Canis lupus familiaris: one gene and its partner. The protein of the gene in region 1 purifies or fractionates together with the protein of each later gene. This does not show direct contact. Links are inferred from orthologs where the notes say so. Each region holds a gene or a part of one and is shown on either strand. Other genes may lie near its edges.

Evidence for each region. The genes of interacting proteins can lie anywhere in the genome.
Region 2: the proteins of MAGED2 (region 1) and NAP1L4 purify together in Homo sapiens (affinity purification with mass spectrometry; 3 studies listed by BioGRID and IntAct, counting the BioPlex papers as one, with this or other methods). This does not show direct contact. The link is inferred for Canis lupus familiaris from reciprocal best matches to the Homo sapiens genes MAGED2 and NAP1L4.

Annotation. Positions count from the first base shown.
Region 1 is NW_023330544.1:39,196-44,869, forward strand, and holds the start of MAGED2 (melanoma-associated antigen D2), read right to left. Parts: upstream 3,722-5,674; 5' UTR 3,592-3,721; intron 3,506-3,591; exon of another isoform or gene 3,411-3,505; intron 3,079-3,410; exon of another isoform or gene 2,986-3,078; intron 2,604-2,985; exon of another isoform or gene 2,113-2,603; 5' UTR 2,084-2,112; coding exon 2,039-2,083; intron 1,651-2,038; coding exon 1,162-1,650; intron 559-1,161; coding exon 250-558; intron 132-249; coding exon 68-131; intron 1-67. UniProt on the Homo sapiens protein: Regulates the expression, localization to the plasma membrane and function of the sodium chloride cotransporters SLC12A1 and SLC12A3, two key components of salt reabsorption in the distal renal tubule.
Region 2 is NC_049239.1:47,403,504-47,409,095, forward strand, and holds the start of NAP1L4 (nucleosome assembly protein 1-like 4), read right to left. Parts: upstream 3,333-5,592; 5' UTR 3,196-3,332; intron 2,366-3,195; exon of another isoform or gene 2,220-2,365; intron 1-2,219. UniProt on the Homo sapiens protein: Acts as a histone chaperone in nucleosome assembly.

The DNA.
Region 1 (5,674 bases):
CTCAGCACATGGGAAAAAGGGCCATGGAGGGCACAGCTTAGGGGATGGAGGGCTAGCAGAACTCTACCTGAGCGTTTGATGGGAATCTTCGTCTGGTCTTTAACCAAGAGGTACTTCACCAAATCGTTTGCCTGGGAAAGGGAAAAAAAGGTAGAAAGATCAAAATACGTTTGCACAAGATTTGAGAGGAAGGCAGAAAAGGTAGGCAAGGCAGTAGATAAGGCAGAGTGGAGAGGACAGGGTTCTTACCCTCCCCTGCAAAAGGGCCACATCTCGAGGTATTGGTGTTTCAGGCTCTTGGGATGACTGGAGCTTCGCAGCTCGACGGCGAGCCTTGCCCCTACGGGCCTTAGGTGACCTCAGGGAGAGCAAAGCTCTCCGGGCCCAAGCAGCCAAACGAGTCCTTGATGCCCTGCGGGCCCAAAAGGCTATGGGGCCCCTTGAAGCCCTGCGCGCCATTGAGGCCATTAGGGCCTTGGAGACCCTTCGGCCAGCTGTGGTTCCAGAAGCCTGACTCTGATCACTATTGCCATCCTCTTCGCTATTCAGATGCTTCACCTGCAGCAACAGAGAGGAAGCACAATATTGTCAAACAAAGTAGATGTTCCTTTTCCCTCATCCTCTCTCTTCTGGAAGGCCCCTCTAATCCCACCCCTGGAGTAACAGCCTGATTAGACATTGGCCATGTTGAGTCTTGGGACTGTTTTTCACTGACTTCAATGCAGAAGTTTCATCTCTCTACCAGGCTAGGAACAACCTGAGATGGGGCCTGAGAATTCTCCTCTTCCTATGTCCACCACTGGCCCTTCTTGTACCACCCTGCACAAGTCACCCCACCTTTCTAGGACTCAGCTTCCTTCTCTATAAAACTGGATTACTTTCAGGATTTAATGAAATAACCTGTATGCATGTGCCTAGCTCAAGGTCTAACACATGGTAGGTCCTATGTAAATACAAACTACATTAACATTGCAGCTAAGTATGTGTACTATCTCAGTTCTCCATGACTCTGTGAACTCTCTGCAGAGAGAAATGATATCACATTCCTCTTATTGTCCCCCTTAATCTTGATGAGCACAGGGAACTTTCTAAATGTTTGCAGAACAAATGGACTAATGAAGAGAAGTGGAAAGGGAAGACTGGTGTTTATAGACGTCTTACCTTTCTGGCTTTCTTGGCCTTGACCTTGGGCCGAGTATCCTGATTCTCCTGAGCCTGGGCAGCCGCACCATCAGGCTTAGGTTCATCTGCCAAAGCCTGAGAGGCAGGAGCCTCAGTCTCCAGGGCCTTTGTACCAGCCTTTATATCAGCCACACAGCTGACCTTTTTGGTTTCAGTGGCAGGCATTGTCACAGGCTGAGGGTCAGCACTCTGCATCTTGGTGTCAGCTGCTGGACTCTTCTTTTCAACTGTCAGAACCTGGGTATCAGTCAGCTTAGTGGTAGGGGAGGCCTGAGTGGCAGCCACCTCCTGAGCCTCTGGGGCCTTTGAGACCTCTGTGGCCTTTGAGACTCCTGCAGCATTTGAGACCTTCATGGCTTCTGAGGTCTCTAGTGCCTTTGAGGTCTTCGGTATCTCTGAGACCTCCAAATTATGGGTCACTGTCAATAGGGTCTGTATCTTCAAGCCACTGTCCTCTGAAGCTTCAGCCTGCAAGAGGAAGCAGGAAAGCTCACAGACCTTCTCCCCATTCCCAACTAGGAAAATGGCTCCAAAATTCCAGGACCTCACTTCTCTGACCTATACTAACTCCTACTTACAGTGAGCTCTGCCCACCTAGACCCAACAAGGCCTCTCCTTCCTCTGAGCAGGAAGTGATGGCAGAAGAAGGCAGGCCTGCCCTCCCTCCCTACTTCCTTCCTCCATCCTTCATTCTTCCTTCTTTCCTCCCTCCCTCACTCCCTCTACTGGTGAGGGGGGGCACCCAGGAAGGAAAGTGGGTAAAGGACAAGGATGGGAGGGGTGGTACCAAGGGAACTGAGGCAGCAACGCGCTGGAGAAGAAAAGTAGTAAGGGAGAGGACAAAATGAGGCCTTACCTGGAAGCGGGTTGGACCCGTACCTTTCTCGCTTGTGTCAGACATGTCTCAAGTTGGCCTGGCAAGAGCTGAGCCTGAGGAGAGAAGGCCTGTGTCAAAGGGCCTGAACGTCCTCTCTCCTGTTCTGCCTGGAAGCTGATCCTCACTTTCCCTAGGGCCCCAAACCCAAACCCCGCCCCCGCCCCCAATGACTCCGTTCTCGGATTCAGTAATCCAAAGCTTCTAGATCTCAATTCTCTGCAGCCGCACCCTCCCCTTCTCCAGGAAGATGTGCCAGCGCGGCAGCTCTGAGGACCCCGCCCCTTTTCCCAGTGCACCCCCCCTCCAGCCGCAGACCAACAATGCGCATGCGCGTTCGCTGCGGAGGCCCACCTCAGCCCCGCCCGCTTTCCCAGCACAAGCTCTTTCTTTGAAGTCCACCATGCACATGCGCATTCGGCAGCAGCCCGTCTCCAGGCTGGCTTTCCTCTACACGCCCCTTCCTAGCAATCCAGAGTGTGCATGCGCAATGGTCCGGACTCCGTCCACCGCCCTTTCTCAACACAAGCCCTTCTCCAGGTCCGCAGTACCATTTGGTCCCGCCCCCTCCCCAACAAGCTTTCTTCTAAAATTGTCGCAGTTTGGTGGTCCCGGCCCCTCCCCTACTCACACCCACCCCAAGTCCACACTATGGCCCTGTCCCGCCCTTTTTCACAACACGCCCCCTCCAACCAGGGGCAAAGCGCATCTTGGTTCCGCCCCTTCCTTAGTACACCCCCTCCTCAAATCTAGAATGGAGCCAGTGATTCCATTTTAGGCCCAGCCAAACCGGGTCCAGTCCCCTCCCTTCCCATCCGGATGGATCCGGTACGATCCGGTCCCTACAGCAGGTTTTCTCCAGATATGAGAGGGTGGGGCCGATCCTTATTGGGCTGTGATCCAGAGCCGGGCTGGGCCCCACAGCTCACCTCCTTCTCCTTAAGTTCCAGAGTGCGTCCACGCTCCAAGCCCCTCTAAAACTCCTAGACTGCCCTCCCTGCTCCAGGCCGGAAGTGGTCCCGCCCCTTTCCGCCTCCCTAGGGGGGCCTCTGTCGCAGCCAGTCTGCCCTTCCCCCCCGCCCCCCGCTGATCCTCATTCCTTATCACCCCCGTATTCCCTCTGCCTTGCTCCCTGCTCCCTATCACCCCTCGCATTTCCTATTTTACCCCACAGAATTCCTTATTCCTATTCCTTACATCCTATCCTGTGTTACCTTTGCACCCCCTTCCCTAGTACTCCTTAACCCTTCTCTGCATTCCCTATTTTCTTCTCTGGATTTCCACTTTCCCTCAGTATTCCCCTCTTCCTCCCAGTCGGTCACTCAACAAACCCGGTTCCCCTCCTCCCCACTAGTCTCAGATCGCCAATCCTTACCGCCTACTACCCTCAGGAGTCCTGATTGCCTACATCCTGCTCCAGGTCATCTCTCCCTCAGCTGCAGTGGTGCAGTATGGATTGCCCACCTGCCTGGCTATAGGTTCGAGGGAACTGAAATCACTGGCTGCCAGGAAACCCAAATCTCAACGCCCCTCACCTTGTCCTCCAGCAAGTCCGGGATGAGTCTGCCCTCTCTCAGTCCCTCTCGAAGTCTCAGCCTCCTGGACTAGAGCTGCAGCCAGCCCAGCCCAGCCCCTTTCCGCAGCCCCCTGCCACCCCCCTCCTTCCTTGGGGGTGGGGCAAGGGGCCCAGCTCTGGGCTGTCTGACGCCAAAGCCCATGTTTATGCCACTGTACCAGGCTCAGTCTGCAGACCTTCGAACTAAAACCACCGCCTCAAAGCGATTCATTCACTGAATGTATTTATTTTCGTATCTTTATTTTTTCTTATTACAAAGATAATCATGTGAAAATTCAAATAATGCAGAAATGTGTAACATACCAATGAAAGGCCACCCTTATCTCATTTCCCAGAAATAACCACTATTAACATTTTTATATACAGTCCTCCAGATTTTTTTCCTATTCATTACTAATTATTTGGGGTTTCTCCCCACAAATGGTATCCTACACCTACTGTTCCATGACCTGTTTTTTTTCCAGTTATATATTCTAAACAGCTTTCTATAGTGCACATTTTTCTTAACAACTTCATATTATTATCTTGTATAGATGGCCCATAATTTATTTAACCAGTCCAGGATACATGGCTATGGACATTCAGATTGTTTCTCTCTCTCTCTCTCTCTCTCTCTCTCTCTCTCCTATTACAAGCAATGCTACAAGGAATATTCTGCATCTGTATATCTGTATTGAGCTTTTTTTATTTGCAGTACTTTTTGCTGACTAAAATGCTACAAAAAGTCTTCCATTTGATAAGAAATTTGTCAACTTACTCTCAAAAGGTACATGGGAATAATGTTCCCACCAACAATGTCTCTCATATGCTTGTGTTACAAATATAACAAATATTTTTCATGTTATTCATGATAACCTTTGCTATACAAAAGGATTTAATTGTTATATGATGAAATGTATCAGGTGTTCCTTTATCACGACTGGATTCTGCTTCATGCTTAAAGATGCTTTCCACACTCCTATAACAATCCCTGTTTTTTCCCAAGCACTTTTATGGCTTTGATATTTACATTTAAGTATTTGATTATTCCAAAATCTGTTTTGTAAAAGGACTCAGCTTAATTATTTTCCAAAATCACTGTCTCTTATCCTTACACCATTTGCAAATTAATCCATCTTTTTTCCCATTGATTTGACATGACACTTTTATCACATAATAAATTTACATAAGTAATTGGGTCTATTCAAGAGAACAAAATAAGATGTATAAATAATGGAAAGTAGACAGAATTATCATTAGTTACTGAGTATATGAATGCAGACCTGGAGAACCCCAAAGCATCAACTAAAAAGTTATTAGAAACCATAATAAAATTCAGCGTAGTGGTCAGTTACAGAAATAATATTCAATACCTTTCTTACACTCAAAAGTAATTCAAATGGTCATAAGTCTAGTGCTTTATGAGGTCACCTTTTCCTTTACTATAATAAAATATCAATCCCTACATTCTATGGATAATTCTCTCTCTCTCTCTTTTACACACACACACACACACACACACACACACACACTTCCCACACAAGATGGGCCTCTGTTCTCCTGATTCCTCTCTTTCTCTCAATTGTTGCTTCCTCCAAGTTTTTATCAGTTTCCTAATTTCTTGTCTCCTAGATTCTCTCCCCCATCCACAAAGGCTTTATTTCACACTAGACACCGCTCCTCCTTGCCTTCCAGTTCTAGTACCCAAATTCCCATTGCTTCCAAATCATAGCTAGCCTTGAAGGCCAAGGTAAGGACTTTGGTCTTGATCTTGAGAGCACTGAGAGGTTTTTGAAGGGGTTTAGGCTTTGATACAATACAGATTTGAGTTTTAGATAGAACACCCTAGCTGCCTAATCAATAAGAAGTATAGATTAGATGTCTACCTGGAAAGAGATAACTTAGTTATCTAAGTAAGCAATGATTGTGTTTGGCCTAGAGTGGTAGCAATGGAGGTAGTGAGAAATGATTGACTTCAGAATATATTAAAGAAGTAAAAAGGGGCAAGACTTTATGAATAATTGGGTGCGAGGAAAGAGGTAAGGAAGAGGGAAGTATCAAAG
Region 2 (5,592 bases), on another chromosome or scaffold:
CTCCCTCTGCCTGTGTCTCTGCCTCTCTCTCTCTGTCTCTCATTAATAAATATAATCTTTAAAAAATAAATAAATAAAAGCTATTTTCCTACACATGCAATTTTTATTTTAAAAATTTTATTTGGCAGAAAGAGAGTGCGCATGCGCACACATACACAAGCAGGGGGAGCGGCAGGCAGAGAGAAAGAGCAAGAAGCCTGACATGGGGCTCGACCCCAGAGTCCTGGGATTATGACCTGAGCCAGAGGCAGATGCCCAACTCACTGAGCCACCCAGGTGCCCCCACACAATGTTTTAAAGTGTAATATTTACAAATGTATTCTTATAGCCTTGGTACATAAATGTCTGAGGTGTAACGCTGATTCTTTGTACCACAAAACTATTTACTAGAACTCATCTCGTCTTGTTTAAAACAGGCTTTCTGGATAATATTAAAATGCACACTACCTTAAAAAAAGTCATGAACCCAGAATAGAAGCACATCTAGTTTTAATAGCTGGCAGAGTATACTTGTAGAAGGAAATTTAAGGCTACACAGTGAGTGGTCAAGATAAGAAGTAGAGACCACAAAGTGCTCTCTTATAGTTTTCTCACTACAGAAACACACTACACCTCTCCTGCTATTAAGTACTCGTGAAATTTAAAATTAAAATGGCAAAGAAAGCAGCTCTGCCTTCTCTAAAGCGCGCAGGGTAGAAAACCAAAGGCTGTCAAATGAAAACAAATCTACGTCACCACAAAGCTACTTCTTAAAAAATTTCCGGGCAGCCTGGGTGGCTCAGCAGTTTAGCGCCGCCTTCAGCCCAGGGTGTTATCCTGGAGACCCGTGATCGAGTCCTGCGTTGGGCTCCCTGCACAGAGTCTGCTTCTCCCTCTGCCTGTGTCTCTCATGAATAAGTAAGTAAAATCTTTAAAATTCTTCACTGCCCATTGATAAGGGTCTCGGAAGGGGTAACGACAAATCCCCACCTGCTGTCTGGGAAGGCAACTACTTGCTAAACCAGGAGTGATCATGCAAAGTAAGCCAAGACCGGATGACAGTGACTTCCTCTGAGCAACCTGCTCTTGCCCCTTGTAAAACCTCTCAGTGGAGGACTGGCGAAGCTATGTAATCACCAACCTTTCGCTGTGGATGCCTGAACACATTTCCCAGTTCAAGTAAGCATGTCTTAGGTAGCAATTCCAGACCGAACTCCCCATAAGCTCCTCACTGCTGCCTCATCATTCACCCCAGGGGCCATCACTCCCAGCACTACTCCCAGCACTACAGGGTTCTGCCCATTTCACAGAGCTGACAGGGGGAGGCCTTCAGGAATGTGATCACCCTCCCACCCACAGACACTATATATTACTGTTGCAAAACAAACCAAACAAATTTAAGTTCTCTGGCAAAATTCTTGGCAATACAACCTAAGTTCATGAAAAACAGTTTCAAAACGTTTTACAACTGTGGACAATGAAAATTAAAAAAAAAAAAAAAAAAAACCAAAAACCTAAAAGTAAGTATTCTGAACTCTATTGTACCATTTATACGTTCACCTCTGTAGTCCCCTCTTCCTGAAACTAAAAGACTATCAACTGCTCAAGAGGAGAAAAATGCTGAAGACTTCCGTCCCACTGAGGCTGGTGGGAACTGCAGATGCAGGAAGCTGCTCCCAGCACCAGGGGCCGCTGAGACCCCGACAGGCGAGCGGAAACACCATCCTGAGAGACTCAAGTACAAAATCACACACTGTAATGACACACACACCCCGACTCCATGGACTTCACCTCTGCAGAATCATGAGCTACCTCACACAGGTACGCTCAAAAATACCACAGGAGACTCTGGTCCTCTAAACGGCCAATCCTCGAAATTCAAAAACGCCTGTATACTCGGAGGACAACAATCCCAAAGCAAAAGTAAACTTTCCAGAGTTCAGTCTACCGGCGTCATCAAAACAAAAACGACTCCATCAGCTCTTGCAAAGAATCCAATCTCTCCAATCGCTATACCTGTTTGGAAAAATAATGCGAAATTCACGAATGCGTTTAATGTTTCACCGCACGGACGTACAAACAACCGCAGGTAGCGTCGACCACGATCACCGGCACAGCAGGACAAAGGCTACAATACAAGCGCGTGGGTCAGAGCAGGTATTTCACACAGCGGGATGCTGTGGTAACTAACTACCGGTTTACACAACTAAGGAATCTGAGAACGATTACTCTCATCATACCAGAAGGAGTCTTAAGATCACTGCTGAAACGACTCCAAGTAATCTTCCCACTTTATCGCACAAGTCCCTTCTGTCACCGTAACCCTACAAGAAATCCAATTTTGCCAACAAAGTATTTCTCTTGACCAGAAGGGTCTTCTCCTCCACGGAGCGTCTGAAACCCCGCACTAGGATCCTTGACCTCAAAAGATGAAAGAAAAAAAAAAAAATGTCCTTATCCAGAAACAAGGGAAAAAGCAGCAAATGGAAACCCTCCAGGCGCCAGGGCTCCTTCTCCTCGGCGGCCTCCCTCGCGCACACCGGGGGCCCGGCCAGCCCAGACCAAGGCCCGCTCCGCTGTGCGAGCGCCGAGCGGCCGCTAAGGGCCCCCGCGTCCGAGCTGGCGGGGACCCCTCCCCGGGGCCCGAGCCGGGCTCCCACGACCGCGTCCCCGCCCCGCGGCCCCCAGGCGCCGGGCCGGGCCGGGCCGGGCCGGGCGGGAGCAGCGAGCACGTGCGCACGGCGAGCCGCGTCCCCGCGCCGGGTCAGCGCCCGGGGTCCCCCGCCCCGCGCGCTCCGCAGAGGCGGCCCGGGCGGACGGCGGCTCCGCGGCCCGGCAAGGCGCGCCGCCCTGGACGCCGCGGGCCCGAGCTCAGGCCGCGCACGGACCGTGCCGAGCCCTCCCGGCCCCGAAGGGCGGCTTCCCCGCGCCCCGAAAACAAAGGGGCCCCGCGGCCGGCGCTGCCCTCGGGGCCGCGGCGGGGGCGGGGGCGCGGGCGGCCGCCCGGGAACAAAGCGCCTCCTGACCTTCAGCGCCGCAGCGGGGCGGGGGTCAGCCGCGCCGCCCGCTCCCCCCGCCGCCCCGGGCCCGCCGCCCCGCCGCCCCGCCCCTGCCGCCGCGGCCTGCCCCCCCCGCCGCCCCGGGCCCGCCCCCGCCCCCGCCGCCCCGGCCCTCGGCGGCCGCGGCCCCTCGCCGGCAGCCCCAGCGCGCCATTACCCAGCCGAGCGCCTCGCGTCCGCTCCTCACGCCTCCTGCGGCTGCGGCAGTGGCGGCGGCGGTGGCCTCGCTCGCTCCAGGGGCTGCGCCGCCGTGGCCGCCAACAACACCGCCTCCCATTGGCCGAGCCCCCTGGCCCCGCCCTGCACAAGCAAGACGGCCTGCGATTGGGCGGACTCGGCGCAAGTCAACTACGCTTCGGCGCCGCCGGCGACGGCCCATCAGAGGCCGCGACAGGAGGGGTGGGGCGTCGCGCTGCGTCGCGCTCAGACCCGCGAGCTGTATGTAAATAAGGCGTGTGACGTGTACGGCGGCGCGCGCCCGCGTTCCTTCCGCCTCCTTAAGGGGCCGGGGCGCGCGGGGGACACGTGGACGGCACCTGCCGCGCCCGCCGTGCGGCTCCAGCTGCGCGCCCGCCCCGCAGACCCCCGCGGCCCCACCGTCCACGCCGCCGCCCCCCGGGCCGCCCGGCCTCAGCGCCCGCCGCCCCTCTCCCCGCGCGCGCCCCCCCAGCGCCGTCCGCGTCTGTACAGGAGCACCGGGGCCGGGCCGCACCTCTGCGCAGTCGGGCGCCCTCGACACCGGGGCCCCCGGCTGGGCCGCCTCCCCGCGCTGCTGGGCGGCCGCTGGGCCCAGGGCACCGCGTTCCCCCGGTCACTGGGAAGGCCGGCGGCGAGGGGGACCCGCCAGGCGCGGAGAGCGCAGCAGAAATCACGGCCTTGTGGTCGGCTTGTGGTCGGCGGCCTCCCAGCCCGCTGCCGCCTGGTCTCGGGGCTGCCCCCCCCCGCCCCCGGGGACGGCCCTTCCTCGCCCCGTCCAGCTGCAGCCCCTCCCGCTCGCCCCCAGACCCGTCTCCATCTGCACACGGCCTGCCCATGCCACCAGGTTAGGGCGGCTGCAGGGGCCTCATGTTAACTCCACGACAGCTGCGCAGGTACGGGGGGCTGGGGCTGAGTCTCTTGGGGCTGGCACCCGCCCCTGTGCACACTCAGTCATCCTGGCCAGCAGGCTGGGCAGGGGACCCAGAAGTAAAAGGGCAGGTTCCTGGCCCAGAGCCCCGACCTTCCCAATTCTAGCTGGGTGGCCTCGACAGCCTGTGCTGCAGTTTCTCCACCTTCAGTCATGGGCACTTGTCATACCCCCTTCACAGGGCTGGTGGGGAGTTGGAACAACACTGGCCAGTAGCTTGGTGCTGGTGTCCACTGCTCTGATGCCCCCACCCCGGGGCTAGAGGAGGGGACTGAGTACCTGAGGCTACCTGAGGCTCTCCTAAGGAGACTGTCCTATGAGTGGCTTAGCCTGAATCCTGCTCCAGAGGACATCTGGGCCCTGCAGGCCGTGGTGTTCAGAGTGACCGGGAGCAGCCACCCCCTGAGGGGCCAGAGACCTAGCTCCTGGGCCCAGTGGTGGTCCAGACACTGCGTGGAGACAGCAGGCCAGGCGTGGGCACCATGACTATATTTTGTCCCGTTATAGCCATAAATGTATTTACTAAGATGACGTGTTAAGTCACAGCAAATGTATTTTTTTGTTGAAGAGAACTAAGGTACGAGAATGAATGTCTCCTGTGGTTTGTGGGGCAGCCACTACAAAGTACCCTGAACTGGTGGCTTAATCACAGGAAAGTTCTTTCTCCCAGCTTTGGACAGTAGAAGTCTGAAACCCAGGTGCGGGCAGGGCCGTGCTCCCTCCAGAGGCTCTAGGGTGTGGATCCCTCCTGCCACTTCCAGGTCCTGGGGGCTCTGAGTGTCTCTGGGCTGGTGGCCAGGTCCCTCCTGTCTCTGCCTGTCCTGCATGGCCTCTTGTGTCTGTGTCTCTCCTTATAGACATCAGCCGGGTGGTGCTTCTGGCCCACTCCTGTGCGAACACATCGTGACCTAAGCACACCTGCAAAGACCCTACTTCCAAATATGGTGGGTTGTGGAGTTCTGGCTAGACAAGAATTGCGGGGGGGGGGGGGGGGGATACTATTCAACTTAGTACAATGTCTGTTCTGGAACCAGCATTCCCCTGTGCCCACTGTCTACCTGTCAGGAAGTGGTCCCTGTGGGATGGTCTCCCTCTGCTTCCAAGGGGGGGGCAGCTGCTCCTGGCCTGGAGTTTCTGGAGCCTCCACTCCATGTCAGGGCTGAGGGACTGAGTCCTGCCATTGCCCAGCTCCACGCAGGGCTCTCCCCTCCCCTTCCAGTCCCCAGGGACCTGGGGTGGGACACCCAGTCCCACTGCCTGCCGTGGAACAGTGGGCTCCCTCTCTCACCACATAGGCTTTACACACTGGCTCCCAGCACCTGCGACTCTGTGTCTGAAGGTACCACCCTGCCTGGACCATAAGCTTTGAGGATCCACCAAGAGGCTTCCCAAGAGCCCCACATGAAGGTGTGTTCCATGTCACACCCA